Linked DNA regions of Anolis sagrei. The protein of the gene in region 1 binds, or shares a complex with, the protein of each later gene. Links are inferred from orthologs where the notes say so. Each region holds a gene or a part of one and is shown on either strand. Other genes may lie near its edges.

The links.
Region 2: the proteins of CRB1 (region 1) and PALS1 are in contact, whole or in part, in a crystal structure (PDB 4UU5), measured with the Homo sapiens proteins. The link is inferred for Anolis sagrei from reciprocal best matches to the Homo sapiens genes CRB1 and PALS1. Residues at the interface, in NP_957705.1 of Homo sapiens: Ala1401, Met1402, Glu1403, Arg1404, Leu1405, Ile1406; in NP_071919.2 of Homo sapiens: Lys261, Pro266, Leu267, Gly268, Ala269, Thr270, Val271, Arg272, Asn273, Ser281, Arg282, Val284, Val314, Asn315, Val317, Phe318, Leu321.

The regions. Positions count from the first base shown.
Region 1 is NC_090024.1:109,692,597-109,709,291, reverse strand, and holds the start of CRB1 (protein crumbs homolog 1), read right to left. Parts: upstream 8,997-16,695; 5' UTR 8,790-8,996; coding exon 8,720-8,789; intron 1-8,719. UniProt on the Homo sapiens protein: Plays a role in photoreceptor morphogenesis in the retina. May maintain cell polarization and adhesion.
Region 2 is NC_090021.1:281,641,278-281,657,627, forward strand, and holds the start of PALS1 (protein PALS1), read left to right. Parts: upstream 1-8,426; 5' UTR 8,427-8,704; intron 8,705-16,350. UniProt on the Homo sapiens protein: Plays a role in tight junction biogenesis and in the establishment of cell polarity in epithelial cells.

The DNA.
Region 1 (16,695 bases):
TGACACATTCACACCTAGCTCCAATAGACAAGAGTTCTTTCTCCCACCCTGGACATTCCACAGATATATAATCCCAATTTTCCTACTTCCAACAGACCTCACCACCTCTGAGGGCCTTTTTCGGGCTATATGGCCAAGTTTTAGAGCAGGGGTCCTCAAACCTTTTAAACAGAGGGCCAGGTCACAGTCCCTCAAATTGTTGAAGGACTGAATTATAATTTGGGGGAAAAAATCATGAATGAATTCCTATGCACACTGCACATATCTCATTTGTAGTGCAAATTGTTGTTGTTCATTCGTTCAGCCGTTTCTGACTCTTCGTGACCTCATGGACCAGCCCACACCAGAGCGCAAATAACAATACAATAATTAAAATGAAGAACAATTTTAACAAATATAAACTTATTAGTATTTCAATGGGAAGTGTGGGCCTGCTTTTGGCTGAAAAGACAGGATTGTTGTTGTTTGCTTTCAAGTAGTTTCAAACTTAGGTTAACCCTGAGCGAGGGCCGGATAAATTACCTTGGAGGGCCATATCCAGGTCTTAGTTTGAGGACCCCTGTTTTAGAGGCATTCTCTCCTGACGTTTCGCCTGCATCTATGGCAAGCATCCTCAGAGGTTGTGAGATCTGCCAACCTCTGAGGATACTTGCCATAGATGCAGGCAAAACGTCAGGAGAGAATGCCTCTAGAACATGGCCATATAGCCCAAAAAAACCGGCAACAACCCAGTGATTCCGGCCATGAAAGCCTTTGACAATACATCTGATTTAATCCAATGTGAACACGTTGCATCATTTTTCATTTTTAGAAACTTGTGTGAAATATCTATGTAGGTATTTAATAGCATTCACATAATCTATCTGAATGCCACAGATTTATACTCATGTTTCTTTTCAAACTGGGATGTAATTCAGCTCACAACAGGATTTAAAGCATGCATAATTGAGTTTTGATCCATGTTCCCAGCAGCCACAATTCTTGCTTCATTTGGCTGTGGCTTGGGACCACCTGTATTTCACAGATAAGACTATAGAAAAACAAAAATTGTGACTCCTACTTTCACTCTTCTTTTCTCCTAGTCATCCTGAAATAATGCTGTGAGTGAATCACCGAGGCCTAATTGCTCAAAAGTTCCCATTTATTTAGGCTGGCTCCATTTCGAAGAGACCAAATTGCTACGTGAGATGAAGTGCAGTGACACTCTCCTCAACCCCAAAACGGGAGAGAGAAGAGATGCGACTTGGACAAGTTATTAAAGGGAGCAAAAGCGGAGAGTTGAAATGTCTTAGCTCATTATCAGTGCTTTTGTGTGGGTTGTAAATGAGAGGAAGGAAATATGGGATCTCTTCCTTCAGACTGCCTACCACCAACAACCCTGAATTTGTCAAGCTATGTAAGGACACAGGCTGCTACAATTTGCACTGAGAGCTTCCCTACATGAATGGTCCAAACTCACCAATATCTTCCTATCTGGCTCTTCATTCTCTATCCAGCTAATGAGAGTCAGCTTATGCAGCCAGATCCCTTAGGAACTCAGCCAGGCAAACAATGGTGCCAGCCTGCAATTGCCAAAGGTGGCTGCTCATTGCCATCTTCTTTGCAAGTGAGGGATGTTCTTCATTTGGAGCAAAACCTCATGAATCCTTTTGTACCCAGGCCTTTTATCCTCTCCTTGCAATTAGGATTAATTAGAAATTCGTAGAGCAACAGTATATGTCCTTGAAAGAAAGGAAAATCCATTTTGGGGGAGGAGGGAAACCATTGCTCAAAGTGGAAAATCTGTTTTAAAAATCTATCTTTCATTACAATTCAACGCATTCATTTCTTGTTTCTGTCTTTCTCTCTGTACATAATTTAAGGTGCTTGGTGCAGAAGATGGAACCATTTAAAAATGTTTTTGCATTGACATTTAGAATTTTACAAGGCTTACATGAGACACAGGGGCGGCTCAACCCATTACACAAAGTAAGCATTTGCAGTATAGTTGATTTTGCCCAGGGGCGCTCTTGAGGCACTCTTGGGGGAAAATAGACCTTGACATATGTGAGTTGTAGTTACTGGGATGTATAGTTCACCTACAATCAAAGAGCATTCTGTACTCCACCAATGATGGAATTGAACCAAATATGGCACACAGAACTCCCACAACGAACAGAAAATATATATCAGTGATTGGTTGGGGGAGGGGGCACAATACTGTTTGCTTACCATTGAAAATTACCTAGGGCTGCCTCTGATGAGACACCAAATATAATATGTGCACCTGTGAAAAATTTGCACATGAATATATCCTATATTTTCCCCATATGTCCACCCTCATTTCCCAACGTCAACTATCATTGCTTCAAGATGCAACAAACCCAACAACGTAAATTACAGTGGACTGAGGTAATAGTATTTATTTGCATTTTTTTTTCTCCAGCTGTGATGTACAGGGTGAGGCAGCATAACTTCCTTTTTTCAAAACTTAATATAACCCATTGTATGCAGAATTTTTTATATATAATGTAGGCGCATACCTAAAATTTTGTTTTATGTAGTTTTGAAGATCAAATTAGGTATTTGACATCACCCATTCTCCATTCTCCATACACTGAGTAAACCAATTTCTGGCGTTTGCCATGAGTCTTGCCAGCATAGCAGGCGTTATGTTGGCAATATCTTCCCAAATGTTGGTCTTCAAATCTTGTAGGGTCCTTGGACGGTTCGCATAAACACGAGATTAAAAAAAAAACTCATAGAAAAAAATCACAAGGGGCCAAATCTAGAGAGCGGGCCGGCCACTCCAAATCCGCTCGAAACGTAGGCCTCAATGGCAAAAGCACGCTCCTCACTGTTCCAATGCACGATGGCGACTGAACTGTGTCAGGACAAAACTTTATACTCCCGCCTCTTGAACTATATTTCTTATTGCCCTGACTAACATGGAAAACATTAGAACTTCATTTTAAGCTTTCTATGTAGCAGATTCTGTTGAAGATATAAACCATAATTAATTAAGATTACACAAGTACCTGAAGACTTTTATCGCACAAGTCCTAAAAATGGGTTCTAGTGCTACAAGCCCATCTTGCTAAGAGCTAGAGCATCCCAGGAGAGCCACTCTTCTTATTACATCTCTCTTTGTTGTAAATTCTTTCACCAAACTAAGAGCCTTTTAAGCCTACTGCAGAGGCTCTGGGCGGATGCAGACGGGCCTTTATCCCAGGAGAATCCCCATTTTAAAAAATGCGGATCTTCCTGAGGGCCTGTCCACACCCATACCAGAAAGCGTGCACTTTCTTGGGTAGATGTCCAGATGCTCCTGCAGGACTGGCCTGTCAGAACATCTGGAGGCCCTACCCCTCTCCCCAAAAGCCCCCAGACCCCTTTGAAAAGTAAAATAAAATTTTGGAGATAATGAACATGGATGAATTAATTTATTGGCTAACGCCAAACCAAGGAATTCTAAAGAACCACATAAACTGGGACCCGGTAAAAAGCTACTTTAGACAATGGAAAATAGAGATTATTACCTAAAGAGAGTAAACCACAGATAGAGAAGATACGAGCATGGAAGTATTATCTTCCACAATCCAGAAAAAGACACTAAAGACCCTCAAATACTAGATGGAAGTCACGCTTTTTTTTTGCTTTTGCTTTAAATACACTTTTTATATTTTTCTACCAATTTTTGAACATTTTTTTCTTTTTGTCTTTTTTGTTCTTTTTTTCTTAGTAAAGCAATACTCCTTCTCTTTTCATGGCTTTTCTATCAACAATGAACACGTTCTCCCATTTTCGAGGTTAAAATTTTAGTGCATATATTAATTCTATAAGTGCATATATTAATTCTATAAAACCAATCCATAAACATTTTTTAAAGAAAAGTAAAATAAACTTACCTGGCCTCCAGCACACTTTTGGAGCAGCTCTCCTGGACTGTAGAAATGACGCATCAGGAGAATGGGGGTGGGGGAGTGATTTTCCTCGTCCCACCCCCCACCCCACCCCCACCCCCCCCCCCCACCCCGCTCTCCTGGTGCTAATTTCTACATGTCAGGAGAGCTGCTCCAAGATTATACTGGAGGCTGGGTAAGTTTATTTTACTTTTCAAAAGTCTGTAGGTTTTGGGGGGAGGGTGGGTATTACCACAGTTTTCCAGACTGATTTAGTACGGAAAACTGTGGAAATGGTGTCTGGACTGCAGTCTATCCTGCACCTTCCAAGAAGGTGCGGAATAAATCCTCTATCCAATTAATTAGCTACAAACCAGGGTTTGCTTGGCTTGTAGCGAATTAATTCGGGACTGTTTAGAATGTTGTCTGGACAGCCCCTTCTTTATTGCGGGAATTGCCACAATAAAATTACTGTCTGGACAGGCCCTCTGACATAACTCCTTCCAACTCATATTTTACATCCCTTCATCCATGCACCATATGTAAAAAAATGTTTTGTTTTTTTCATGGAAGTATTGCAGGTAAACAATTTCATGAGACTACAAGCTTCTTCTCTCTGTGTGTTTGAAGTTTCAGGAAATTACTTCTGCATTTTCAAAGTACTCAAACATTGTCCTTATAAACATAAAAATATAAAAATGCATTTTGCAATATGCAATATTTCCCTATTTTGTGTATTCTGCAAGGGGGGCTATGAAATGTCTTGGAATAATATACAGAAAGGTCTTAAGAAATGGAAATTTTTGAACTTATTCTTGTTAAGAAGGATTGCTCTCATAAAAATGAGTGTTTTACCAAAGTTATTATTTTTATTTCAAAATATACCTATAATTAACCAAACCTTTAAAAAAATGGAATAAAAAACTAATGAAATTTGTTTGGAATGGGAAAAGACTGAGAATTAAGTACTTGAACCTGATTGATAAAAAGACGAGAGGTGGACTAGGTTGCTGTGGCCCAGTCTGGTGATCTGGAAAATAAAGTAATGGTTTCTTATCTATGTAATTTCTTTATGCTTGTGGGTAAACAGTATTTCTTGTTGTTTCTTTGTCAATGTTGATGTGGAGATTGTCTGGTTTTCCTGCTCTGGAATATGCAACCTATCATTGTCCTTCTTTAGGGGTCCCTTTCAAATCTATGATACTATATCTGTGTGTGCGTGTGAATCATATTATATATCTATCTATATCTATGGGCGGGTGGCTCTTTGTCAGGAGGGCTTTGATTAGATTTTCTTGCCCTGGTGAAGAGAGTTGGACTGGATGGCCTTAAGTCTGGGGCCTTATGTACCTGAGGGACCGCCTCACCCCCTACCAACCCCCGAGATCCCTCCGTTCTAAGGACCAAGATCTATTGGAAATTCCCAGTGTCAAGACCTTGCGTCTAACAGCAACCAGACGCAGGGCCTTTACAGCAGTGGCACCATTGCTCTGGAATACTCTGCCACCTTAAGTCCGTGCCTTGCGGGACTTATCAGCTTTCTGCAGGGCATGTAAGACATACCTGTTTCGACAGGCCTTTGACTTTTGATATTGCTGTTTTTAAATTGTTTTAAATTGTTTTTAAATTGTGTTAGATTTTAGCCATTCTTGTAAGCTGCTCCGAGCCCCAGGGGAGTGGCAGCATATAAGTTTGAATAATAAATAAATAAATAAATAAAGTATTTTCTGTTGGTCATGGGGGGTTCTGTGTGGGAAATTCTGTGTTTGTGGGGTTCAGAATGCTCTTTGTAGGTGAACTATAAATCCCAGTAACTACAACTCCCAGATGTCAAGGTCTATTTCCCCCAAACTCCATCCGTGTTCATATTTGGGCATATGGAATATTTGTGCCAAGTTTGGTCCAGATCCATCATTGTTTGAGTCCACAGAGCTCTCTGGATGTAAGTGAACTACAACTCCCAAACACAAGGTCAATGTCCACCAAACCGTTCTAGCCTTCTGTTGGTCATGGGAGTCCTGTGTGTCACCTTTGGTCCAATTCCATCATTATTTATTTATTTATTTATTTATTTACAGCTTTTATATTCCGCCCTTCTCACCCCACAGGGGACTCAGGGCGGATTACAGTGTACACATATATGGCAAACATTCAATGCCAATTTTAGCATACAACATATACAGACATAGACAGAGGCTATTTAACTTTTTCTGGCCGCGAAGCTGTCGCTTTAATCGTCATTGGTGGAGTTTAGAATGTTCTTTGATTGTAGGTGAACTATAAATCCCAAGAACTCCAACTCCCAAATGACAAAATCAGAAATTTTTGAGTGAAGGACATACATTGGGTTGTATGCCATCCAAATTTGGTGTCAATTTGCCCACTGGTTTTTGAGTTGTTAATCCCACAAACGTACATTACATTTTTATTTATATACGAGGGGTATTTTTTTAAGTAAGGTCCGTTTGAACATAAGTACACAACAAAAGTTTATTTCAAAAAAGTAAATTTATTTTCAGAAAGTACACACTTCACTCTATTTTTCGACATAGTTGCCAAGTTAGTTCAAACACTTATCATACCTCTGAACCAATTTAAAAATACCCTCTTCCGCCTGCTCCAATAACCAAGAGTTCACTGTAATCAAAGAAGGGCGACCGGAGCTGTCCTCATCATGGATGTTGTCACGGCCATCTTTGAATTGTCGTACCCACTTATGCACTTTGCTTTCACTCATAACAGTATCACCGTACACTTCACAAATCTGTCGATTAATTTCTGCAGCAGGCAGGTTCCTTGCTGATAAAAACAGTATCACTGAGCGAACCTCACATGCGGAGGGTGAGTTGATAGTCTTAAACATTTTTAAAGCTACAGAGCGGAAACTGAGCACAGTTATTCCCGAGGCATGCCGGTACACGACGCACGCGCTCATTGCGGTATGCGCGTGAACTACTAGTGTTTACAACAAAACGGACCTTACTTAAAAAATACCCCTCGTAGATGGATATATAGACTCAATGACAATTTGAAGGTAGTGCTTATTGTGCAACCATTTATACATAACTCCTAAAGTTTTCCTAGTTTGCATCCTCACCTCATGCTACAACTTGTAGCACCTGCTTTATCCCAGCTTATAAACCTATGTGTGTAGGAACAATTTGACAATACAACAGAAGGTGACCCAGATTACACGACACCGGTCGCTAATGCCAAGTCTCCTTGTTTAATGGCAGCTGTTGGCAGCTTGTCTGATTAAAATTCAGATTCAGCCGGCACAAAGCGCACAACCTTTTCAGACACATACGCACATGGTTTCAAAGTCTGTTCTATAGAGCCTTCCCCTTCTAAACAGACACATCGGCTTTGCCAGCAGAACTTCATTTAAATTAACAACAACATACAGCAACATCTGAAAGCTTTCCCCGCTCCTATTTGCTCTGTAAAGGGGAAGTTTGTGGAAAAGGTTTTTTCTTTTATTCTTTTTAAAATCAATAGCAAACACTTTGTATTGTCAAAGGCTTTCATGGCTGGAGTCACTAGGTTTTTGTGGGTTTTTTCGGGCTATAGGGCCATGTTCTAGAGGCATTTCTCCTGACGTTTCACCTGCATCTATGGCAAGCATGCTCAGAGGTAGTGAGGTCTGTTGGAATTAGGACAATGGGTTTATATATCTGTGGAATGGCTGGGGTGGGGCAAAGAGCTCTTCTCTGCTGGAGCTAGGTATGAATGTTTCAACTGACCACATTCATTAGCATTTGAAGGCCTGGCTGAGCCTGGGAAAATCTTTTGTTGAGAGGTGTTAAGCTGTGCCTGGTTGTTTCCTCTCTGCTGTTTTGCTATTGTAATTTTAGAGGGGTTTTTTAAAGAGTTTTTTTAGAGTTTTAATACCAGTATTAAAAAACTCTAAAATTACTACAGCAAAACAGCAGAGAGAAAACAACCAGGCACAGCTTAACACCTCTCAACAAAAGATTTTCCCAGTCTCAGCCAGGCCTTCAAATGCTAATGAAGGTGGTCAGTTGAAACATTCACACCTAGCTCCAGCAGGGAAGAGCTCTTTGCCCCACCCCAGCCATTCCACAGATATATAAACCCATTGTCCTAATTCCAACAGACCTCACTACCTCTGAGCATGCTTGCCATAGATGCAGGCAAAACGTCAGGAGAAATGCTTCTAGAACATGGCCCTATAGCCCGAAAAAACCCACAAGAACCTAGTGATTCCAGCCATGAAAGCCTTCGACAATACTTTGTTGAAAGGGTTTTTCTTTTGTTCTTTTTAAAATCAATAGCAAACACTTTCCCCCTCATAATAGAAGGTCAAATTTTACAAAGTAAAATCAAAGTACAATGTGACATTAATTGACCAAATTCTTGGGGTCCCTCCTCAAAGAGGCTTTTACGAGATGGTTGGAGAGCTCCCTCGCTTTGAAGGAGAAAAAAAGGAATAAGGAAATTGAAAGCTGACAAAATATTTGCAACAAACCCATTAATATGCTGTTATCAAATGTAGAAAGTTAAACCACCTGACTATTTAAGTTTGGTAAGATTTGGATAATGTGTTTTTTAAAGGACAACAAACCTTGATGCATTCGGCAGTATTAGTTCTTCTGGATCCTCCAAATAACCATTCATTCATTTCAAAAGTTACTCCTCTCTTTCTGACTCCCTTGAACTCTTATGACCTCAAAGCCATCTGTTCACTCATTTTTGATAACTCCGGAACTAATTCTTATGTCTTTTCAAGTTTTACAAGCTTGCTTTCAGAAATAGACCTGTTTACGTATGATGCAGGAGAAGCAACATGACAGGTGAAAGGGAATAGGAATGCTTACTTTTTAAATGGATGAGCAGCAAGAAACCGAGGTAGAAGATGAGGAGAGAGTTCGTCCTGGATGGAGCCATATTATTTTTCCTGATGAACCATCTTCCTTGAAAGTTCCCAGTCCCACAGGGGATGCTGTGTGTCTATTTATTGCATCCTATTCCTGCCCTGAACCTAGGACAGCGGTCAAGGCACAGGGTCCCCGGCATGCCATCTCTGCCTCTGTCCCTCGCCAGCATGCACTGCAAACCTGCAGAGTTCAATTTAAAAGGCATTTGCGCTTGGTAAGATTTTACTCCAGCAGCTTTGGGTGATGCCTCAAACCTGGTGCAGATTTCACTGCGGAGTGGACTGGAGTCTCTCTTGCCTGCCTTAGTATTATGAAGAGTCGTGCCACCGGGGAGAGATGATGCCTTCAAACTGCATCCCACAGCACTCTTTTTGAGGTTTTCCTTGAAGTTTTCCTATTTCAATGCCCAATCTATTCCCCAAAGCCCTACATGATAACACATTGTACAATATACCTTTACAGATTGGTTCGGGCAAGAGAAATAAGTGCTATTTTAAATTTTATTTATTTATTTAGCAATTTTGTATACCGGTCTTCTCCCCTCTATCAGGGGACTCGGGCAGGTTTCCAACAATAAAATCACAAAACAATCATTAAAAACATCATATAACATATTCAATTAAAACGTTATAACAGCAAAATGCAATCACAAAATAACAATGGTCAGTCATCATAGTGAATTTGTTGTCCATCATTCATCATCATCTATCCGATCACAGAAATATTGATTCACTCGTTGAAAGCCAAACCCCATAGCCAGGTTTTCACCCGTTTTCTGAACGACAGAATGGAGGGGGCAGTTCTGATCTCCAGTGGGAGAGAGTTCCAGAGTTGAGGGGCCACCACCAAGAATACAGAGGTACTCCTGGTTAGTCGTAAGGCCGAACAGGGTATAGGGTTACAGCCTGTGTTGGATGGGGTCGCACTCCCCCTGAAGACACAGGTTCGCAGTTTGGGTGTGATCCTAGACTCATCGCTGAGCCTGGAACCTCAGGTTTCGGCGGTGACCAGGGGAGCATTTGCACAGTTAAAACTTGTGCGCCAACTGCGCCCGTACCTTGGGAAGTCTGACTTGGCCACGGTAGTCCACGCTCTGGTTACATCCCGTCTAGACTACTGCAACGCTCTCTACGTGGGGTTGCCTTTGAAGACGGCTCGGAAGCTCCAGCTAGTCCAACACTCGGCAGCCATGATACTAACAGGAGCGGAGCGCAGGGAGCATACAACTCCTCTGCTGCACCAGCTCCACTGGCTGCCGATTTGCTACCAGGCTCAATTCAAAGTGCTGGTGTTGGCCTATAAAGCCCTAAACGGTTCTGGCCCAAGTTACCTATCCAAACGTATCTCTGCCTATCAGCCCGCCAGGGCCCTAAGATCTTCTGGGGAGGCCCTGCTCTCTATCCCGCCTGCTTCACAGGTGTGGCTGGCGGGGACGAGAGACAGGGCCTTTTCTGTGGTGACCCCCTGGCTGTGGAACGCCCTTCCTATGGAGGTAAGATCAGCCCCCTCGCTAATGGTGTTCCGAAGAAGATTAAAAACTTGGATGTTTGAACGGGCATTCGGTTAAACAGTGCAATGAATGTGATGATTACAGGAATGGAAATTTGGACGACGGATTGGATCACGACTCTAGTTATGAGATCCATTGTGTTGTCTATTGTTGTGTCAATATTGTATATTATGCTTTTATGGTTTTAAATTGTATATCGTTGATTGATTCTTATCCTTGTTGTAAACCGCGTTGAGTCGCCTGTTGGGCTGAGAAACTGCGGTATACAAGTAAAGTAAATAAATAATAAATAAATAAATAAATAAGGTCCTGTCCCTCGTCCCCACCAGACATGCCTGAGAGGCCGGTGGGACCAGGAGCAGGGCCCCTCCAGAAGATCTTAACAACCTAGATGGTTCATAGGGGAGAATACGTTCGGACAGGCAAACTGGGTCGGAGTCGTTTAGGTTAACACCAGCACTTTGAATTGTGCTCAGAAGCTAATTGGCAGCCAGTGGAGCTGGCGCAACAGAGGAGTAGTATGCTCCCTGTACCCTGCTCGTGTTAGCATTCTGGCTGCCGCACGTTGGTGTAATTGGAGCTTCCGGGCAGTCTTCATAGGCAACCCACGTAGAGAGCGTTGCAGTAATCTAAACGGGATGTAACCAAAGCGTGGACCACCGTGGCCAAGTCAGACTTCCCAAGGTACGGGCTCAGCTGGCGCACAAGTTTTAATTGTGCAAAAGGTCCCCTGACCACCGCTGAAACCTGGGGCTCCAGGCTCAGCGATGAGTCCAGGATCACTCCCAACCTGCGAACCCGATGATGACGCCACAATTAGATCTGCTGCTACATAAATAAAAATGTAATGTTTGTGGGATTACCATAACTCAAAAACCACTGGGCGAGTTGACACAAAACTTGGACACAATAAAAACACTCATAAAAACACTGAAAAACACAGCAGAAAATACTTAAAAAGCCAAAAAATATATACATTGCAACGCATGCACAAAACCACACATATACACATATACACAAATATATACATATACACAGACACTAAACACATATACACAGACTGGGCCACAGCAACGTGTGGCAGGGGATGGGCTAGTCTATATAAATAAAAATGTAATGTTCGTTTGTGGGATTAACAGAACTCAAAAACCATTGGACGAATTGACACCAAATTTGGACACAAGACACCTAAAAACCCAATGTATGTCCTTCACTCAAAAAAATTGCTTTTGTCATTTGGGAGTAGTAGTTGCTAGGATTTATAGTTCACCTACAAATAAAGGGCATTCTGAACCCCATCAACGATGGAATTAAACCAAACTTGGCACACAGTTCTCCCATGACCAACAGAAAACACTGGAAGGGTTTGGTGGGCAGTGTCCTTTGGTTTTGGAGTTGTAGTTCGCCTCCATCCAGAGATCACTGTGGACTCAAACAATGATGGATCTGGACCAAACTCCACACGAATACTCAATATGCCCAAATGTGAGCACTGGTAGAGTTTGGGAAAAATAGAATCTTGACATTTGGGAGTTGTAGTTGCTGGGATTTATAGTTCGCCTACAATCAAAGAGCATTCTGAACCCCAGCAACAATAGAGTTGGGCTAAATTTCCCACACTGAACCCCCATGACCATCAGAAAATACTTAAAGCCATCCAATCCAACTCCCTTCATCAAGGCAAGAAAACATAATCAAAGTCATCTTTACAAAGAGCCATCCATCCATAGATAGATATAGATAGATAGATAGATAGATAGATATGATTCACACATGCAGAGATATAGTATCATAGATTCGAAAGGGATTTGAAAGGGATCCTTAAAGAAGGACAATGATATCTTGCATGTTCCAGGGTGGGCAAACCAGACACTCTCCACATCAATACTGACAAAGAAACAGCAAGAAATATTGTTTACCGACAAGAAATTACATAAAGAAATTACATATATTAGAAACCAACACTTTCTCAATACTTTATTTTCCAGATCAACAGACTGGGCCACTGGGACAGCTAGTAGTAGTAGTAGTAGTAGTAGTAATAATAATAATAATAATAATAATAATATTTTTAATTAATTTTTATTGAGGGTTTTCCAAGATGGGGATACATCCAAGTTTCAAGAATCAGTAACTTAGACTTAACCATTACATTAAAAAGAAAAACACATAATAGGGGGCTGGGGGGGGGGGGGAGAAGTTCAGGAGGGGTGGGGGGATGTGAACGGATAAAGGTGGATGAGGGAGATGTGGGGGCTAGGGAATGTGTCACAGGAGAGTTCTTGGTCTTATTCATCCATTTTGCCCCAAGAAACTTTAATGTTATATTTTCCTAGTCGTAATTCTTACATGTCTAAGTCTGGTTAATCTTGAAATATTCTTTGATTGGAGACCAATCTGTCCTGACAGTCCCTGTCTTCTGTTTATTTTTCATGTGCCATGTTAGGGAGTCCATATTTATTATATCTAGAAGTTTTATTGTCCATCCCTCGACTGTTGGTAGTTCTTTATTCTTCTATTTTCTTGCTATTACAATTCTTGCAGCTGTCGCCATGTGAAAAAGAAGCTTGTCTTTATTTTTCCCAAGTTCAAAATCTAATATACCTAACAGGTAATATTCAGCTTTCATTTCTATTTTTATATCCAGTATCTTGTTTATTATCTCGTAGATCTCTTTCCAGAATTTTTTTGTTTTTTCACATGTCCACCATGAGTGAAAGAAGATGCCTTTTTTACTTTGGCATTTCCAACATGTCTCAGGGACATTCCTGTAAGATTTCACCAATGTACTCAGTGTGATGTACCACCGGTACATCATTTTTAACCAGTCATAAGAATTTATCCACTTTAATTTAACTTTCCATATCTTTTCCCACTCTGTGGTTCCAATAATATGACCAAGGTTTGCTGTCCATTTTGAAATGAATTTTTTTTCTGTTTTTCTCTGTCATCCAACTTAGTATGATTTTGTAGAGTTTAGTAATCTCTTTTTTTCTCCAATCATAATCTTGTCCCACTGATTATCTTCTTTGTCAAAACCTAGTTTTTTTTATCTTTATTGTATGCTTCTGTAAGTTGCCTATATTGGAACCATGATATCTCTCCATAAGAACTTCTTATCTCTTCTATTGTCTTCATAGAGAAATCATAATTGTTCTTCTTTAAGATGTCTTTATATCTTGGCCATTTCTCCCAACTCAGTTCTCTTCTCTGTGACGCTTCAAGGGGGGAGATCCAAAGAGGTGTTTTTGATAAAATTTGGATTTATACTTTCCCATATCAGTGACGATCTAATAAATTGGTTGCCAAAGTTTTTTTCGATCTTTCTTTTGGTGTACCACATGTACGCATGCCACCCACTTCTAAGATCACGTCCTTCTAGAGCTAGGTCTTTTGTTTTGTTGATATTAGCCCATTCTTTGCTCCAGATTAAGTCACAGGCATCGTGGTATGCTTGAAGATCTGGTAAGCCTAGGCCACCCTTTTCCTTACTTTCAATTAGATTTATGAATTTTATCCTAGGTTTCTTCCCAGCCCAGATGAATTCTGTTATTTCTCTGTTCCAGTTCCTAATTGTCTGTTTGTTTCTTATAATTGGTAACACCTGGAATAGGAAAAGAAGTTTGGGCAAGACCATCATTTTTATGGCTGAGATTCTTCCTAATAGTGACAGGTTTAGAGATTTCCAGTTGGCCATCTCTTTGCCAATAATAATAATAATAATAATAATAATACTAACAACAACAACAACAAAGACACAACTCTGTGGCCCAGATGATTCACTAGAACTTATGTCACAAGTACCACCTGCCAGCAGTAAAGAATTGGTGGGATCATAAACTCGCAACGGTCGTGGAAAATGAACATGCAAAAATACTGTGGGATTTTCGAATCCAGACTGACAACCTTTTGGAACACAATACACCAGACATCACAATTGTTGAAAAGAAAAAAAGTCTGGATTATTGATGTCGCCATACTAGGTGACAGTCGCATTGAGGAAAAACAACAAGAAAAACTCAGCCGCTATCAAGACCTCAAAATCGAACTGCAAAGGCTCTGGCATAAACCAGTACAGGTGGTTCATTGGCGCACTGGGTGCCGTTCCAAAAGATCTCAGCCAGAACTTGGAAACAATAAACATCGACAAAATCATGATCTGTCAATTGCAAAAGGGCACCTTACTTGGATCAGCGTGCATCATTCGAAAATACATCACACAGTCCTAGACGCTCGGGAAGTGTTCGACTTCTGATTTTGTGATACAAAATCCAGCATATAGATCTCGTTTGCTGTGACATACTGTGCTTTTGTGTCAATAATAATAATAATAATAATAATAATCTTTATTTATACCCCACCACCATCTCCCCAAAGGGGACTCAGAGTAGCTTACATGAGGCCAAGCCCAATAGTATATTACAGTAAAATAAAACCAAAGCAACAATTCTCACAATACAATTAAATCAATAAAAACATAAGAATACAATTTTAAAAAACAGCACAAACCAAATACAATGTAAAATCAATCCCAAGGGCAGACCACATGTACAAGTTAAAATGATAAAAACTCAGGATGAGATAGGGGTGAAAGAGAAGTAGGAGATGGGGTAGTGGAGACAGGCCTTCAAACAGGGAGGGGAAGTGCAATATAAAGTGCAATATGAGAACAAACCTTATGGGAGAAACAACAAAAGGATATTTCATATCACTCTCCAAAGGCGCAACAGAAAAGCCTAGTTTTGAGATCTTTCTTGAAGGATGCTAAGGTGCGGGTTTGCCTAATCTCACCAGGCAGTGAATTCCAGAGTCGGGGGGCCACAGCGGAGAAGGCTCTCTCCCTCGTTCCCATAAGTTGGGCCTGTGATAAAGGAAGGGGCGAAAGGAGGGCATCCCCCGAAGATCGAAGGGATCGGGCGGACTTGTGGAAGAAGATACGGTCACAAAGGTAGGAGGGTCCCAAACCGTTTAGGGCTTTATAGGTGATAAAATGGAAATTATGTTAGTTATGCTCATGTATTCCCATGTCATGTTGTTCTCCAGGATACTTTATCCCATTTCTCCAATTCCTTGCAGTACCTACTTTTGGGGCTTAACCTATCCATCCTCAAATAATTGAACATTCCACAACATGTGTGTGTGTGTGTTGTGATATATGAAAAAAACATACAAGCGTTAAAATTCAACAATCCAAATACAAGTGTTATTGCCCCAGGCCCACCACCTCTCCATTCCCACCCGTGACTTCCAACACCACACCATATGGAACTAGTATCTAACAAAAATCTGCCCTTATCATTACACTAATAAATCCCCCATTCAGCTATTTCAAAATCTGTTTTTGTCTTCCTTTTTAAATATATAAAGACTAGTCTCCATTTTCTAGTGAAATCTTCTTCATTTCTTCCCCTTATGCCATTGGAGATCTTGGCCATTTGAATGTAGGGCCCATTCAGACAGCCTCTTTATTGCGGAAACTCCAGTTGATGTACTAGCCAACCCGTAATTAATTTCCCACAAACCAGGACAACCCTGGTTTGTGGTAAATTAATTAGATAGTGGATTTATTCTGCGCCTTCTTAGAAGGCGCGTGATAAACCCACTACTTCCGGTGTCCAGACTGTAGTCCAGACACCATTCCCACAGTTTTCTGGACTAAATCAGATTTGTTTTATGCACTCAGTGGTTATCAAAGTTTTTAATCACATTGCATTTGTGTATTTTAGGTACCCTGTTGATGAACGAGGTACTGTTAAATGTGTATGATGAGGCATTCATTTGCTTTCACAATAAATTATTTAAATGCTAAAGAGACTTTACAGACACCCTGTTTCAGTAGCCATTATCTGAAATGTTTGGGATCAAATTATTTTGGTTTTTGATTCCCCACCCCCACCCCCGGATTTTGAATACCTGTATTTGCATATATGCACATAATCAGATATCTTGGAGACGGGACCCAAATCTAAAGGCAAAATGCATGTATGTTTCATATGCAACTTAAACACATAGCCTGAAGTTAATTTTATACACAATATTTTGAATACATTTTTGTATATAACTATGCTTATGTACATTAAGTGACCAGAAAACAAAGATTTCACGACTATTTTAGCTTTTGGAGTATTTCACATTTTGGAAATCCAGTTAAGAGATGCTAAGCCAGTATTTAATTTTCTTCTATGATGAGACTTTTAGCTGTGAGAAAAGAAACAATCAATTTTTTAAAAGGCGTTCATGGGGTATCCAGGAAATGAAAATCCAGCTACACAATATCCGGAAAAGGTAAACTGGAAGAAAGCATTATTGAAGATAAAGTTATTATTCATACAGAAAACCACCTTTCTATGGAAGACAGAACATGGGTTCTAAAAAGATAAATCCTGCATTAGTAACATTTTAAAAT
Region 2 (16,350 bases), on another chromosome or scaffold:
GAGATCCGACATATTTTTTTTATTTTTTTAAAGAAAATCCCTCCCGTTATGTGCTGGACTTCATGTGTGCACATGCGAATCTGCTTCTGTTTATATTGAGATTTTTGCATGTGTGCATATATCCAGCGCATAACGGAGTGAACTTTGTAAAAAAAAACTTCTGCTGGATGTTTCCCATCCACCCTCCATATTGATCCACTACAGAGGAAGGCCATATCCTGGGACTGACATGTCTGTGTGGACCTGCTGTCAGATAACAGGATTTTTTTGTTTTGGTATTAGATATAAAACACGGATTTGGCACTGTCTGGAAGTGCCCATAGTCAAACAGTCAGCATCAAATTTTCAGTGGCTAGGATAATGGATAGGAAAGCATTCAGGTTAATGTAATTGCAACCATAAACAGAGTTTTGATAAAAAAGAATCCAAAGTGGAATGGATTAAAGTTCAAAGAAGGTTTAAGTTGAGCATTGTATAATTTGTGGAGGTCTCAGGAGGGACATTTGGAAACTATAGGGGAACTGAAGAGGATTCCACCTTTCATAAATTTCATAATATGAGGGTGAGATGACAGACATGTTTTGGATGCTAGCGCTGCAGTGGTGAAGCCAAACTTAAATTTGGCTTAAGTCTGATGGCAAAACCTGACTGTAGAAATTCTAGAATATTGTTAATGGACTTTCCTATTTATTTATTTGTTTATTTACTTAATTTATACCCCACCTTTCTCAACTTTGCAGGGGGACTCAAGGCAGCTAGTCAAAGAAAGAAGTTTCTTTTAAAATAATTCAATATCTTTCCTAGCTTGGGCAGTGATAGTTGATATTAGTCCATCTCTCAAACACTATATTAATAGGTCAACCACACACACAATCTCAAAATGTATAAAATGACCCCAGGAAAGCAAGTAATGGAGTCAATGTCCAAAAACTGGAAACAACTAGTTATGGCAATTAAAGTAGTTATAATTCCTATAAAACAATTTAGCTGTAAGTATATTACATTATAACTGTATCTGAGTGAAGAATAATACCACTAATTTAGTGGTGTACCTGTTAATTTAAATATTACTTATGTTGGTCTGGTATATGGTCTCACTAAGTGTTACAGCAGAAATATCACCCAATTCAAGTGACACGGGAGATACCTCATACTTTGTATTGTCGAAGGCTTTCATGCCCAGAATCACTGGGTTGCTGTAAGTTTTTTGGGCTGTATGGCCATGTTCAAGAAGCATTCTCTTCTGACGTTTCGCCTGCATCTATGGCAGGCATCCTCAGAGGTTGTGAGGTGTCTGCATGACCTCACAACTTCCGAGGAGGCCTGCCATAGATGCGGGTGAAATGTCAGGAAAGAATGCTTCTGGAACATGGCTACACAGCCCAATACCTTACGGCAACTCACAACATGCTTTGTTGTAAATGTTGAGAGCACAATGATGTGGAAAAGAGAATGTGTTTTCTACAGCAGATCAAGAGATTGTAGCTTTTAGATTATCCCCCCCCCCCCCCAAGAAAAAAATTCTGAACAGATAACTTGTTACATTTCCTTTTATTTGCAGATGTAACATAAATAACTTTAAATATAAAAAGGTTTTTAAAATGGTATGTCCTTGTTCTGATGAGGTCCTTGAGGTATTATGTGTCTATACTTTCCTTTCTGTCACAGCTGAGAAGAGAGCCATGAACCAATTCTAATAGAGCACAGATGAGGGAAGCCTGGCCCACAGTGTTATGCAGATAACCCATACTGCCAGACCTCAAATTGGCAGCATATCTCTGATGGGGGGGGGGGGGGTATATTCCCTGTGAATGCAGCAGCCTTTGAGAGCAGCAACAAGAGGAGGAGCACATGAGTAGCTGAGGTAACCCGTTGGAATTCCAAGAATTCTGATCACTGTGCCTTCCTTTTTGACGCCACAATTATCCAAATTAGGAACCAATTTCATCTCAATCTGCGGCACAGGACTTGAGGAAGAAAAGAAACTGGGCTGATTAGTTCTTTCTGCCTATTATTAAGGGTGACAACTGCATTGCCTCTATTTTAATAAAATGGCAGTACTCTGTTAAAAGATAATAAAACTGCTGTCTCCAGACACTACCCATTTGTGGACTTAAAGATATTTAAAGATATCGTCAAGAGCTATTTCAAACTGCATTTGCAATCCTAATAATACAAAGACTAAAGCTAAATCTCTGCAGGAACTTATACAACAAATTAAGTTGTCATAGTCACAATCAGAATAAACTTTTAAAAAGTGAAGGCTATTTGGAAGGAAATGATGCCTTCAAGGGAAGAATCTTCTTCCCTGCAAGACTAGCTCCTGAAATGCTTACAGCTGAGATCTGTGTGGAACCCAGACACCGCTGCCATGTAAAGTTTAGTCTTAGGAGAATAAAGACCTTGTCACATTGGGGTCCTTGTCACACTGGGGTCCTATGGCAAGCGATAGCGGGGGGGGGGGGGGGGATGCCTTAATGTAGCATGGCGAATCCGGCGGCCAGTGGGGGGAAACAGTTGTCCCACATCACTCCTTACCTTATCCCATGGGGGGAAGCATCTCCATCTAGCTTCCGTCCCCACCCCAATTCTTCTCAAATGCAATTTGAAATAGCATGCTGCCAGAACACTTTCTCTATGGAGCCCTGCCAGAAGTAGTCTTATGTCGTATGATAGGAACCATCAGGCTCAATTTCCTAGAATGCTTCCCGAAGCCTGTGTGATGAAGTGGTAAGATTTCTGGAAACAACATCCTGATCTTTCAAGGTCCTGGAATATGTATGTCCCCCATCACATAGCAGTTGAGGTTTTTTTAGCAACAGTGAAAAGCAACATCAAAATTATCTGAAGCCTCTATCTAACTGTGTGTCTTAAACCATACCAACAAGTGCAACAAAAAGTTGTGCCTTACAGCAATACAGAGATCAGACAGGTCTCACTTCGGGGGGAGGCCACACACCCTCCCCAAACCTCAGGATTTTCATGGTAGGGTGGCTACATAGAGCGATCCCCCAGCCCCCCATTCCCCCAAAAAACTTACCTGAGGGGCCTGTCGGCAGTGAAGACTTCTCTAGAGAGCTCTCCTGGTGCTCAGAAAATGACAGTTCGGGAGGGGGGGAGGGGCCTGCATCACCAGCAGGCCCCTCAGGTAGGTTTTGGACACCTCAAGTAAAACAGAGACACATTTTGGGACTGTCTGGAAGGGCCCACTGTCCCAATTCAGAAGACAGAAGGGAGCAGAAGACACTTCCATCTTGTCTTCTGCCTATATCATCACTTAAGAGGCCCCTCCCCCTTCTGGCACCAACGGCTGCTCTGGCCAGAGCGACGACAGAGGGGAGCAGAAGACATTTCCATCTTGTCTTTACTAATAATATAATATAGTATATTGTATATACATATAATATTTATAATATTATAATGTAGTACAATATAATACTAGTAATAATAATTCAATATTATAATTATAATTATATATTTACATTACATGTAATATTACTAATAATATTACAATATAATGGTATAGTGCAATATAGTAATATATACTGATATTGTACTATGCTAATAATATAATATATTGTATGAAAATATATATTGTAAGCCGCTCTGAGTCCCCTTTGGGGTGAGAAGGGCGGCATATAAATGCCGTAAATAAATAAATAAATTCACAGTCAAGCAACTATATTGTACTCTAGTTGCAGTTACTGAACCATCATACAGGCAGCTCCAAGTGGAATGCAATACAGTTATTAATGTGGGAGATTACTGAGGTATGGTTTACTACTTTGTCCAGGTATGGAAACAGCTAAAAAACCAACCTAATCTGGTAAAGGATTCATCAACCCTCAAAGAAAACCTGTGATTCAAGATGGTTCATGAAATACTCCTAAAACACTAGACCTGCTGCGTCAGATGGAATACAACTCTGAAGTATTGTATGTACTGCTGATAAATGATTTACAGAAGGAAATGACAATTATGCATTATCATAAGTGATATTACCTAAGAAATGTGAAGCTCTAGTAGCTTGCATGTAGTTTATTCATTACTGAATTAGTATGTTCATGGAAGAGAGAAAGATGGACTTTGAAGCTTTTAGTTAACATTCCATTCCAGCCATGAATGAATGATGTATCAAAATGTTTTGGATGATAAACAATAACTCCATCACGACTTCTAAATAAACATTCAAGTGCTGTACAAAGTCATTAACAACTTGATTGAGTATAAGGCCATTATAAAGAAGATACCTGTCATGTTTGAATGTATCTTGCTGCTATTTAGAAATGATAGAAATTGCTATTTATTTTATATCCTGGTTTTCTCCCATGTGGGACACAAAGTGTTCTATGAGGTATGTTAAAACAAAACAACTAAAACATCATGAATACGGAAATTTAAAAAACAATGAACAACAATCCATTCAAAAAATCAATTTTCTTAACAAGGTAGATGTGTTTCTGGGCATTACTTCTTTCACTTAAACTTTGTACTGAGGCACTGAATGTTTGCCTTTTTGTTTGTTTGGAATTCACCCTGAGTCCCCTCGGGGAGGTAAGTTTTTACATTATTATAATTTTGGTACTAGAAGTAGAAATAACATGGAAAGAATAGGGGGATAGGTTCCTATAATACAAAACGAAACATTTCAGCAAAGCTTTTATATAAAAATAACATTACACACATGGGAAATGAAACAATTAGATCAGGAAACCCATGCATAAGGAAAAAAAACATCTTGAATCTTCTACAGAGCATCTGAAGGCTTCTTCCAAAACGCAACTCAAGAGTTTTTTTTTATTTCAATAGCATTCACTTTTCATACTGTTAATATTTTGGTGAGGCAAGCTAATCTGCTTTGCCCCTTTCTTTCTGTTTTGCTTTTCATACACGCTCAGTAAGTGATTCAGGTGGCAACTGTTTACCTTGCTTTGTGTACATAAGCCGTTACAATAGAATGACCTAGAGCATAATACAGTACAATTCTTACCTAGGTTATGTTTTAGTGTATTGTTTGCAATAGACATGCTGTTGCAATCCAACACTAAAAGTGTTTTTCACACCTTTCTTTCCAACATTCCTTCACTATCCTCCCAACGCTAATGCTGCACAATAAAAAGTCTCCCACAAAAAGACTTTGTATAAACAAGGCATGTACAGTGATGTTAACTTATCATGAGTGAATGAATGCATTAAAAAAACTTGAACTGGAGGAGAGGAATATAGGTAAATGTAAAGGTTTTCCCCTGATATTAAGTCCAGTCATGTCCGACTCTGGGGGTTGCTGCTCATCTCCATTTCTAAGCTAAGAGCCGGCGTTGTCCGTAGACATCTCCAAGGTCATGTGGCCGGCATGACTGCATAGAGTGCTGTTACCTATTGATTTACTCACATCTAAATGTTTTTAAACTGCTAGGTTGGCAGAAGCTGGGGTTAACAGTGGAAGCTCGCGCCACTCACCAGATTTGAACCTGCGACCTTTCAAACAGTAAGTTCAGCAGTTCAGTGGGTTAACCCACTGGTTAATTTTAATGACTTTAACTCACATTGACAACCAATTTGGAGAAAAGATAGAATGATAAGGGGCAAAGGTATGTGGGTAAGAGTGAGAAGGGGAAGAAAAAAATGTTGAGAGTTGATTTTCCTAAAAAATGGCACACCCTTTTTTAAAACTATCTTGGTATTAATGCACTACTGTAAAAGCATAGAACAAGAAACACTAGGAATGGTTTCACTTCTAATAAAGACAGTTTTTGTTGAATAAACTATGCTGTCAGAGTTGCCAAACTAAACATGGGAGAGGGTTCCTGTTCAAACTACAAGAGAGGAGATCTGAACATTAGGAAGAACTTCCTGACTGTGAGAGCCGTTCAGCAGTGGAACTCTCTGCCCCAGAGTGTGGTGGAGGCTCCTTCTTTGGAAGCTTTTAAGCAGAGGCTGGATGGCCATTTGTCAGGGGTGATTTGAATGCAATATTCCTGCTTCTTGGCAGGGGGTTGGACTGGATGGCCCATGAGGTCTCTTCCAACTCTTTGATTCTATGAGTCTAAGTTCTGTGAAAGAGGAATTTATAGCAAGAATTGCTCGTTGCCCAAGGAGCAAGATCTGCTGAAATCCCTCCTCCACAATTACAGCAGCCCTTTCCAGTTTTCGCAAGTGACCCTATGCCTTACATTTCCATATTACAAAAAGCACTACTGTATCAGATCTTCCAAAATGAACTCAATTTCAAAGAAGTCCAAAACACCTGTTGGCCCACGCCTGAGTTAGAATCCACTTAACTGGGTACCCATATACACAAACATTATGGGGTTTTTTTAATTGTGAGGAAAACTCAAAAGATGCACTGGTACTTAGTTCTCTATATTGAAACATGGAGTAAAGGAAATTCACTGGGTTTTTGTGAGTTTTCTGGGCTGTATGGTCATGTTCCAGAAGCATTTTCTCCTGACATTTTGCCTGCATCTATGGCAGGCATCCTCCGAGGTTATGAGGTCTGTTGGAAACTAGGCAAGTGAAGTTTATATATCTGTGGAATGTCCAGGATGGGAGAAGGAACTTGTTGTTTGAGGTAAGTGTGAATGTTGCAACTGGCAACCTTGATTACCAAGCATCCTCAGAGGTAGTGAGGTCTGTTGGAACTAGGAAAATGGGTTTATATATCTGTGGAAAGACAAGGGTGGGAACAAAGGACTCTTGTCTGCTGGAGCTAGGTGTGAATGTTTCAACTGACCACCTTGATTAGCATTTGATAGCCCCAAGTGCCTGGAGCAGTCTTTTGTTGAGAGGTGATTAGATGTCCCTGATTGTTTTCCCTCTGCTGTTTTGCTGTTTTAATTTTAGAGGGTTTTTTTAAAATAATGACAGGACTGACAATGTGGAATTGGAAATTGGACTATGAGATAGCGAACGCTGGCCGTCTATGAGGAGTAATTGGGTTTCTATTGTTTTATTGGTTTTAGGGTTGTAATGCAGGAATTGTTGTTTAACTGTTCAACTGATTAATTGATGTTATTTTGTTTTACTGCTGTTATGTGATGTTGGCATCGAATCTGTGCCTTTGTAAGCCGCCCTGAGTCCCCTTCGGGGTGAGAAGGGCGGGGTAGAAGAAACCTAAATAAATAAATAAATAAATACTGATAGCCAGATTTTGTTCATTTTCATGGTTTCCTCCTTTCTGTTGAAATTGTCCACATGCTTGTGGGTTTCACTGGCTTCTCTGTGTAGTCTGACATGGTGGTTGTGAGAGTGGTCCAGCATTTCTGTGTTCTCAGATAATATGCTGTGTCCAGGTTGGGGTATAAAGTTTATTATTATTGTATTGTCGAAGGCTTTCATGGCTGGAATCACTAGGTTCTTGTGGTTTTTTTCGGGCTATAGGGCCATGTTCTAGAGGCATTTCTCCTGACGTTTCGCCTGCATCTATGGCAAGCATCCTCAGAGGTAGTGAGGTCTGTTGGAATTAGGACAATGGGTTTATATATCTGTGGAATGGCTGGGGTGGGGCAAAGAGCTTTTCTCTGCAGGAGCTAGGTGTGAATGTTTCAACTGACCACCTTCATTAGCATTTGAAGGCCTGGCTGCGCCTGGAAAATATTTTGTTGAGAGGTGTTAAGATGTGCCTGGTTGTTTCCCCTCTGTTGCTTTGCTGTTGTAATTTTAGAGTTTTTTAATACTGGTAGCCAGATTTTGTTCATTTTCATGGTCTCTTCCTTTCTGTTGAAATTGTCCACATGCTTGTGGATTTCAATGGCTTCTCTGTGTAGTCTGACATGGTGGTTGTTGGTGTGGTCCAGCATTTCTGTGTTCTCAAATAATATGCTGTGTCCAGGCTGGTTCATCAGGTGCTCTGCTATGGCTGACTTCTCTGGTTGAAGGAGTCTGCAGTGCCTTTCATGTTCCTTGATGCGTGTCTGGGCAATGCTGCGTTTGGTGGTCCCTATGTAGACTTGTCCACAGCTGCATGGTATACGGTAGACTCCTGCAGAGGTGAGAGGATCCCTCTTGTCCTTTGCTGAACGTAGAATTTATTATTATTATTTGTTGAGAAGTGATTAGCTGGTCCTGATTGTTTCTTGTCTGGAATTCCTCAGTTTTTGAGTGTCGTTCTTTATTTACTGTTACGATTTTAAAGTTTAATAACAAGGAAATTCACCTGTTCCGTTCCCTCTTCGTGAGACTGCGCACGAAGACTCCAGGTGCCCTTGGCCGGGTGAGCTCTTTAATCTCTTAACACAGGTAAACACTATTCACCTCAGCTGGGGAGGCCACGCCCATTAAAGCCTTGTCCAATGGCAACGAAGAGGGGGAGGAGAGGAGCGCGCGCAGGCCGAGCCTCGCGCTCAGCGCCCGCGACGTCACCAGCTGACGATTGCAAGCCCCGCCTCCTTTCTCCTCGAGAGAAGGCGGAGCTTGAAGATTGGTGGGAACCAAGGAGGGAGAAGGGGGGAAACCGGATATGCGCATGCGCGGGGAAGAGGCAAGACGGCGATTTGGTTGCTGGGATCTGGCACAGGAGGCGGGGCGGCGGCCGACGTTGTCGACGAGGACGACGGCGGCGGCGACGAAGAAGTTGTGCCGCTTCGGTCTCGGTGAGGCGTGTGAGCTCCGGCGCGTCTCTTTCCGTGAAGGGCCTGAAGCGTCGTCGTTGTCGTCACAGGCGAAGGCGAGGCGCCCTTTCCTCGGTCCGGCGGGTGCCCAACAGGTAGGCATCCTGAGGGAGAGAGAAAGAAGAAGCCCTCTCGTTCCCTCTCGTTCCCTCTCGGCTCGTGGTCGGGGGCATGGTGGGACTGAGGGGGCCTTCCTGGGCCGCCTTGTGTGGGCTGGGAGCGCATTCCTCAGCTTCCTCCGCGTCTCCTCCCTTCCCTTCCCGTGTGAACTTCTGTCCCCGTGTCTGCTTATCGCCCGAAATCTCTCCCCGGACCCCGCCTTCCTTCTTTTCTCCCCTGTTTCCCTTTCCTGCCTGTTTGTTGTTGTCCTCTTCTTCTCCTTCCCCTGTTCGCTTCTATCCCTGAAGTGACAACTAGTTTTGACGGAGACGCTTCCTTTCTTCCTTGTCCTAATCCAGGGCGTCCCAAACAGATTCTCGCCCCGCTACCTTTCACGCAGGTTGTCCCAAAGGTTGCCTAAAATTGATACTTAGAAGCCCCCTTGTAAATTGTATCAGAAGATGAGAGACTTCTACCTCGTATTGGGAATACAATGTATTGGGAATCTCACATGAGAACAACATATTGTATGTGTGGCCAAAACCCCAAAATAACATATAAAACAGCTCTGTATTTAAGCAAAACAATACGTCTTGAGAACCACATATGTAGGGCTGATCGGGGTAAATTGTAGGGGTGATAAGGAAATCTATATAAATAAAAATAATGTTCGTTTGTGGGATTAACAGAACTCAAAAACCACTGGATGAATTGACACCAAATTTGGACACAAGACACCTAACAACCCAATGTATGTCCTTCACTCAAAAAAAATTGATTTTGTCATTTGGGAAGTGTAGTTGCTGGGATTTATAGTTCACCTACAATCAAAGAGCATTCTGAACTCAACCAATGATGGCATTGAACCAAACGTGGCATACAGGACTCCCATGACCAACAGAAAACTCTAGAAGGATTTGGTGGGCATTGACCTTGAGTTTGGGAGTTGTAGTTCACCAACATCCAGAGAGCACTTTGGACTCAAACAATGATGGATCTGGACCAAACTTGGCACAAGCACTCAATACGCCCAAATATGAACACAGATGGAGTTTGGGGGAAATAGACCTTCACATTTGGGAGTTGTAGTTAACTGGGATTTATAGTTGAACTACAATCAAAGAGCAATCTGAATCCCACCAATGACAGAATTGGGCCAAACTTCCCACACAGAGCCCCCATGTCCAACAGAAAATACTCAAGGCCATCCAGTCCAACTCCCTTCACCAATGCAAGAAAACGTAATCAAAGCCCTCCTGACAAAGAGCCATCCAGCCAGATATATAAATAGATATATATGATCCACACACACGCACAGATATAGTATTATAGATTTGAAAGGGACCCCTAAAGAAGGATGATTATATATTCCATTTTCCAGAGTAGGCAAACCAGACAGTCTCCCCATCAACAGTGACAAAGAAACAGCAAGAAATACTGTTTACCCACAAACAGAAAGAAATCACATATATTGTAAACCAACACTTTCTAATTACTTCATTTTCCAGATCACCAGACTAGGCCACAGCAACGCGTGGCAGGGGACAGCTAGTAACATATAAAACATCTCTGTATTTAAACAAAACAATACGTCTGAGAACCACATGTGTAGGGCTGATCGGGGTAAATTGTAGGGGTGATAAGGAAATCTATATAAATAAAAATAATGTTCGTTTGTGGGATTAACAGAACTCAAAACCTACTGGATGAATTGACACCAAATTTGGACACAAGACACCTAACAACCCAATGTATGTCCTTCACTCAAAAAATTGATTATGTCATTTGGGAGTTGTAGTTACTGGGAATTATAGTTCACCTACAATCAAAGAGCATTCTGAACCCCACCAATGCTGGAATTGAACCAAACTTGGCACACAGAACTTCCATGGCTAATGTAAAACACTGGAAGGGTTTTGTTGAGACTCAGCATTCTGGCACCATACCTACTACTAGTTTGGTGGGCAGTGTCCTTTGGTTTTGGAGTTGTAGTTCACCTACATCCAGAGATCACTGTGGACTCAAATAATGATGGATCTGGACCAAACTCTACACGAATACTCAATATGCCCAAATGTGAACACTGGTAGAGTTTGGGGAAAATAGAATCTTGACATTTGGGAGTTGTAGTTGCTGGGATTTATAGTTCACCTACAATCACAGAGCATTCTGAATCCCACCAAAGATAGAATTGGGCCAAACTTCTCACACAGAACCTCCATGTGGGCCACAGCAATGCATGGCAGGGGATGGCTAGTAACATATAAAACTGTATTTAAGTAAAACAATACATCTGAGAACCACATATGTAGGGCCAATCGGGGTAAATTGTAGGGGTGATAAGGAAATATGATATATATATATACTCAGTTTTATCACCTCTTATATTTATTTACTGTATTGTTATAAGTGTCTTATTTTAACTTACTACATGGAGTGTGATCAAGTCTTATCAAGCTTTGTTGTTTTGTTTGATATTGTGATATGACCTAAGGACTAATCAATAAAAATACTACTACTAATTACTACTTACAGTCCCTAGTGTAGGCATGGGCAACGTTGGGCCCTCCAAGTGTTTTGGACTCCAACTCCCACCATTCCTAACAGCCTCAGGCCCCTTCCTTTTCCCCCTCAGCTGAAGGGAAAAGGAAGGGGCCTGAGGCTGTTAGGAATAGTGGGATTTGGAGTCCAAACACCCGGAGGGCCCAATTTCACCCATGCCTTCTCTAGTGTACATAAGAGGAAATGGGAAATTGTTGCTAAATGTACCTGTTGCCCAAGAAAAATGAACTGCCCTTCCTTGTTCTAATCCTCAATAAGTTTGGCTGTGTGTTTATCATTGAATTGTTGCCTCTGTAAACCTCCTTGAGTCGCCTGCGGGCTGAGAAGGGCGGTATACAAATACAGTAAATAAATAACAAATAAATGTGTGATGTCAGGCCTGTAGCCGGGGGGGGGGGGGGGTTAGGGGTTCAAACCCCCCCCCCCTATTTTTCAGGTTAAAAAAAACCCTGGTTTACTCATGAATTTTAACTGGTTAACCAAATCCCCATGCTAAGTCTATGAGATGCAAAAACTGCAAGCACTATCTCAAGCAAATATAGACAATTTATTCACACTGTCATTACTTGCAGCAATGGCCGATATAGCGAAGCAACCAAGTTGGGGGGGGGGGTGTTTAATGCTCTCATTAAGGAGGCCAGACTTGGTGGAGGTGGTTGACAGGAACAAAGCTGCAGTTCGTTGCAACCTGTAAAACATAACATAATATGGAATATAATATACATTTGTTAATCTTTCCTATCTCCTTTTGGGACACCCTGAATATGTATCACTACAATGACATATTCAACTCAGGGCCCTTCCAGACAGGCCCTATATCCCAGGATCTGATTCCAGGTTTTATGCTTTAAACTGGATTATATATGAGTCCCCTGGTGGCCCACTGAACTGTTGAAGTTGCGGACCGAAAGGTTGGCAGTTCAAATTTGAGGAGAATAATGATCTCCCACTGTTAGCCCCAGCCTTTGCCAACAGAAGCTGAAAACATGCAAATGTGAATAGATCAATAGGTACCACCCCCACGGAAAGGTAAAGGCGCTCCATGCTGTCATGCTGGCCACATGACCTTGGAGGTGTCTACAGACAACACTGGCTCTTTGGCTTAGAAATGGAGATGAGCACCACCCCCCAGAGTCGGACACGATTAAACTTATTATCAGGGGAAACTTTTATATATGAGTCCGCACTACCAGAATTTCTTTGTGTCAAGAGCGACTTGAGGAGCTGCAAGTCTTTTCTGGTGCGAGAAAATTGACTGTTTGCAAGGACGTTGCCCAGGGACGTCAGGATGTTTACCATCCTATGGGAGGCTTCTCTCATGTCCCTGCATGAGAAGATGGAGCTGATAGATGGGAGCTCACCCCGCTCCTCAGATTCGAACCACCGACCTTTCAGTCAGCAGTCCTGCCAGCACAAGGGTTTAACCCATTGCGCCACCGGGGGCTCACACTGCCATGTAATCTGGGATGAACAGAAAACCTGGGATCAGATCCTGGGATATAGGGCCTTCCTGGAAGGGCCCTCAGATAATTCAGGATGGCCCCCAAAAGTGTATACACCTTTTAATAGCTAAGTGTAGCTATTGCAGTTATTTGATGACTGATCATTATAAATGTTATAATTATGATTTCATCAGAGTTACAAATTTCATCTTGAAATATTTTTAGGTGAGGTGTTCAAATTGTCAAAATGCACTGCTTGTATTGTCAAAGCACTAGAGCTGAAAACCTCATCTAAAGTTTTTCTTGGAATTTTGTGACACTTCTCTACTATTGGAGCCTTGAATCCTGTCAATAATTTATATATTTGTGGGGGGAGGGGTACCCCCAAAATTGAAGCCCCTGGTGGTACAGCCGGTTAAACCACTGAGTTGATGAACTTGCTGACAGAAAGGTCGGCACTTTGCTCCAAGGAGCGGGGTGAACTCCCGCTGTTAGCCCCAGCTTCTGCCAACCTAGTAGTTCAAAAACATGCAAATGTGAGTAGATCAATAGGTACCACTTCTGCAGGAAGGCAACGGTGCTCTATGCAGTCATGCCGGCCACATGGCCTTGGAGCCATCTACAGACACCACCAGCTATTCAGCTTAGAAATTGTGATGAGCACCACACCCCACAGTCGGATATGACTATATTTAATGTCAAGGGGAAACCTTTACCTACCCATAACATTATAAACTAATATGGATGTGTGCAAATTTGGAGGACACCCTGTAGTTGGTGGCTTTGTTGTCAAGTTTTACTTTCCCCGTTCTTTTAGGTTATGTGTGCAAAATGCAGTGTTTCTTCCCAAGGCACTTCAAACCTTCAGTACCACCATTTTCCCCCATTGCCGTCTCCAGGGTTCTTTAGGTGCAGTGACTTCCATTAGATGTTGTAATTCAGTTTGTTCTGAACTTAATCAAGCCCCCCCCCCCTCCAAATCTACCAACATGACCATGTTGGGGCGAATTGGCCATGTCAACCTATTAGTCTTAACTGCTATACTTAATTCTTTGTAGGAAGAATTGCGTTGGCAAGTCACCAGATCCCATCAGATCATAGAAACTAAGTAGAATCAGCTGTTGTTTGTACTTGGATGGGATACCACCAACGAATACCAAGTGCTGTAGGCTATATTTCAGAAGAAAAAACTTACAAAACCACCCTTGAGTATTGGTTGCCTCAGAAAACCCTATGTAAAATGCATGAGGTTACCATAAGTGAGCAAGAGACTTGAAGGCATACACTCACTGGCAGCACCCGGGGCATAGATTAGCAAAACTATCTCTTTGGAATTACTTCCCATGTATTAAAGCTGTAATATCATTTAGGAAGACCCTTGGCTATGTTTTTATTGAAAACATTAGAGAGCTCCCAATAAAAACCTTTTGTGCTTGTCTTGATCATGTAACTGTACACAATATTAATACATGTAGTCACCCCCCTCCAAAATTATTTATTATTGTCGAAAGTCAGAACTGTCTTCTCTATTACTAACATGTATTGTGGAGCAGGTACAGAAATTTCAGCTACAGTAGAAAAAAAGGAAGAGGTGTTACACATTGAAGTCTTCTTGTTTTGTGTTTGCTTGAGTACAGTCTGCGGTCTCTCAACAAAAACTTGGAAAATTATAGTTTTCCTCAAGAAAGAGAAAAGTTGACATTAAAATTTATTTTTTCTTGTTCTAATGTTTTACCAACTCTGTGCTAGTATATTGAAAGTGCAATTTATGACACACCATATATTGATAGTTACTTTTTTAATGCCCTGTTGAATTATAACAATTTTTTTAGAGTTGGGTAGTATACAATTTTTGAACTAGTTTTCTAATGTTTTGGGAAGTTCTAATGTTCTTATATTTGTGGTACCTAGTTTGAAAGAAAATTCTGTACTATTAGTGACAATTTGTTAATTCTGAATGAAGGTATTGTCTAGTTATCAGCTGGGGAGAGAATAAAAGTATTTCCTGAATATAGACAATGGACCAGTACACTTACTTGTCTCTCCAGCTACATACTTTGGTCTTATATAAAATTATGGTTTATCTGAGAACTTCAGGTCTATGTACATCACTGTGTCTGCTAACCAGTTAGGCTCACCTTTCTCACTAGCTTTTCTGCAGAGATGTTTGTTTTCTTTTGGCCTTCTTTAAAAAGGAAAATGCTGAAGAGAATTATAGGAGAGATAACTTTTTAATTAAAGTTTTGAAATTTATACTTAGGGGTTCTAGTCCAGACATAGGCAAACTTTAGCCCTCCAGGTGTTTTGGATTTCAACTCCCATAATTCCTAGCAGCTTGTATAGTTAAGTGACATAAAGGCCTTCAACAAAGCCTTAGAACAATACATAAAAGTTCAGTCCATTTTTTTCTTGGAAACGGGTCAGTAAGTTACCATAGGTCATAATCTTGTGTTTCTGTAGTTTGAGCTGTAGGCTAAAATAATGTTATCCATTTTATTAATTAAAATATTTTGAATAAGCTGCTTACTGATTAAGTTTGTTGTACAGCAGTTGGCAAACACTCAAAATGAGCTTGCTTCAACAGGTGACTGGAAAGCAATAACGCACGTGGTTTGATTGGCTTGTGGAACAATTAGAAGTGAAAACAAAAAATTGGACTCATGTTCTTTATATTCCCAATGAGAACTAGTTTAGTTAGTTTAATGGAGCTAATTTCCTAGAAGGTATACCTATAGGAACACTGTTCATGTAAGGATTTCTTTGAACTAAATGGTTCTACAATATTATTATTATTAACAAACATTCTGATTTCTAGGTAATGTTATTTTAATATGCAATTCTTCATGGTACCATTGAAACAAAGTAGTTATTTCTGGGCAGACATACGTAAAACATGGGACACTATAGCCAAAAGTCTAATTATTTAAAAGGGTTTTTTTTTCTTTTTCAGTGATAGAGGCACATGCATAAATCTCTACCATTTAAATAATTATCAAACTTTGGATGAGTCCTGATCATGATTTGTTTTGTTATAGAGGGGTCATTTCATTGGGTTGCTATTTTTATTATGGTTTTAATGTTTAGACAAAAATAGCATTTAGAAATAAACCCAGAAGTAGTATTTGGAAATAAGGTTGCTATGTTAAAGTATATGAAATTTCAATATAACTGGTTTACTTTTGGTTTCTTAATTGTTTTCTCTAAACTGTATAACATATTTAGCAGTCATGGTGATTTAAATTTAGTCACTTTTAGTAAAGAACCTCCCCTCAAAATTAGTTTTGGGAGAAAAACGTTTGGAGGAAGATAACTATTATGACTCCTTTCCACATTTACTAAAATACTCTTTTTGTCTTTGTTCAGGCAGAAGACAAATTCTAAATTTGGTCTCTTGGATAGCAACAGTAGTATTAAGGGAGACTTTTAGAGTTAATGAGCTAAGAGCTGATCTCATAGGCTCTTTTCTCCTGCTGGGTGGTCGATAAGTCATCCTTGAGCTAGTAGTATTAAGAATCTACTCTGACCATTGAAACAACCTATTCAATCCCAGCATTTAAGGTTTAGAAGGGCACCAACTATCCACATGTCAATCTGGAGCTCAGGTCTTCTTTTATGTTTGAATTTTCAGCTCAAGGGCC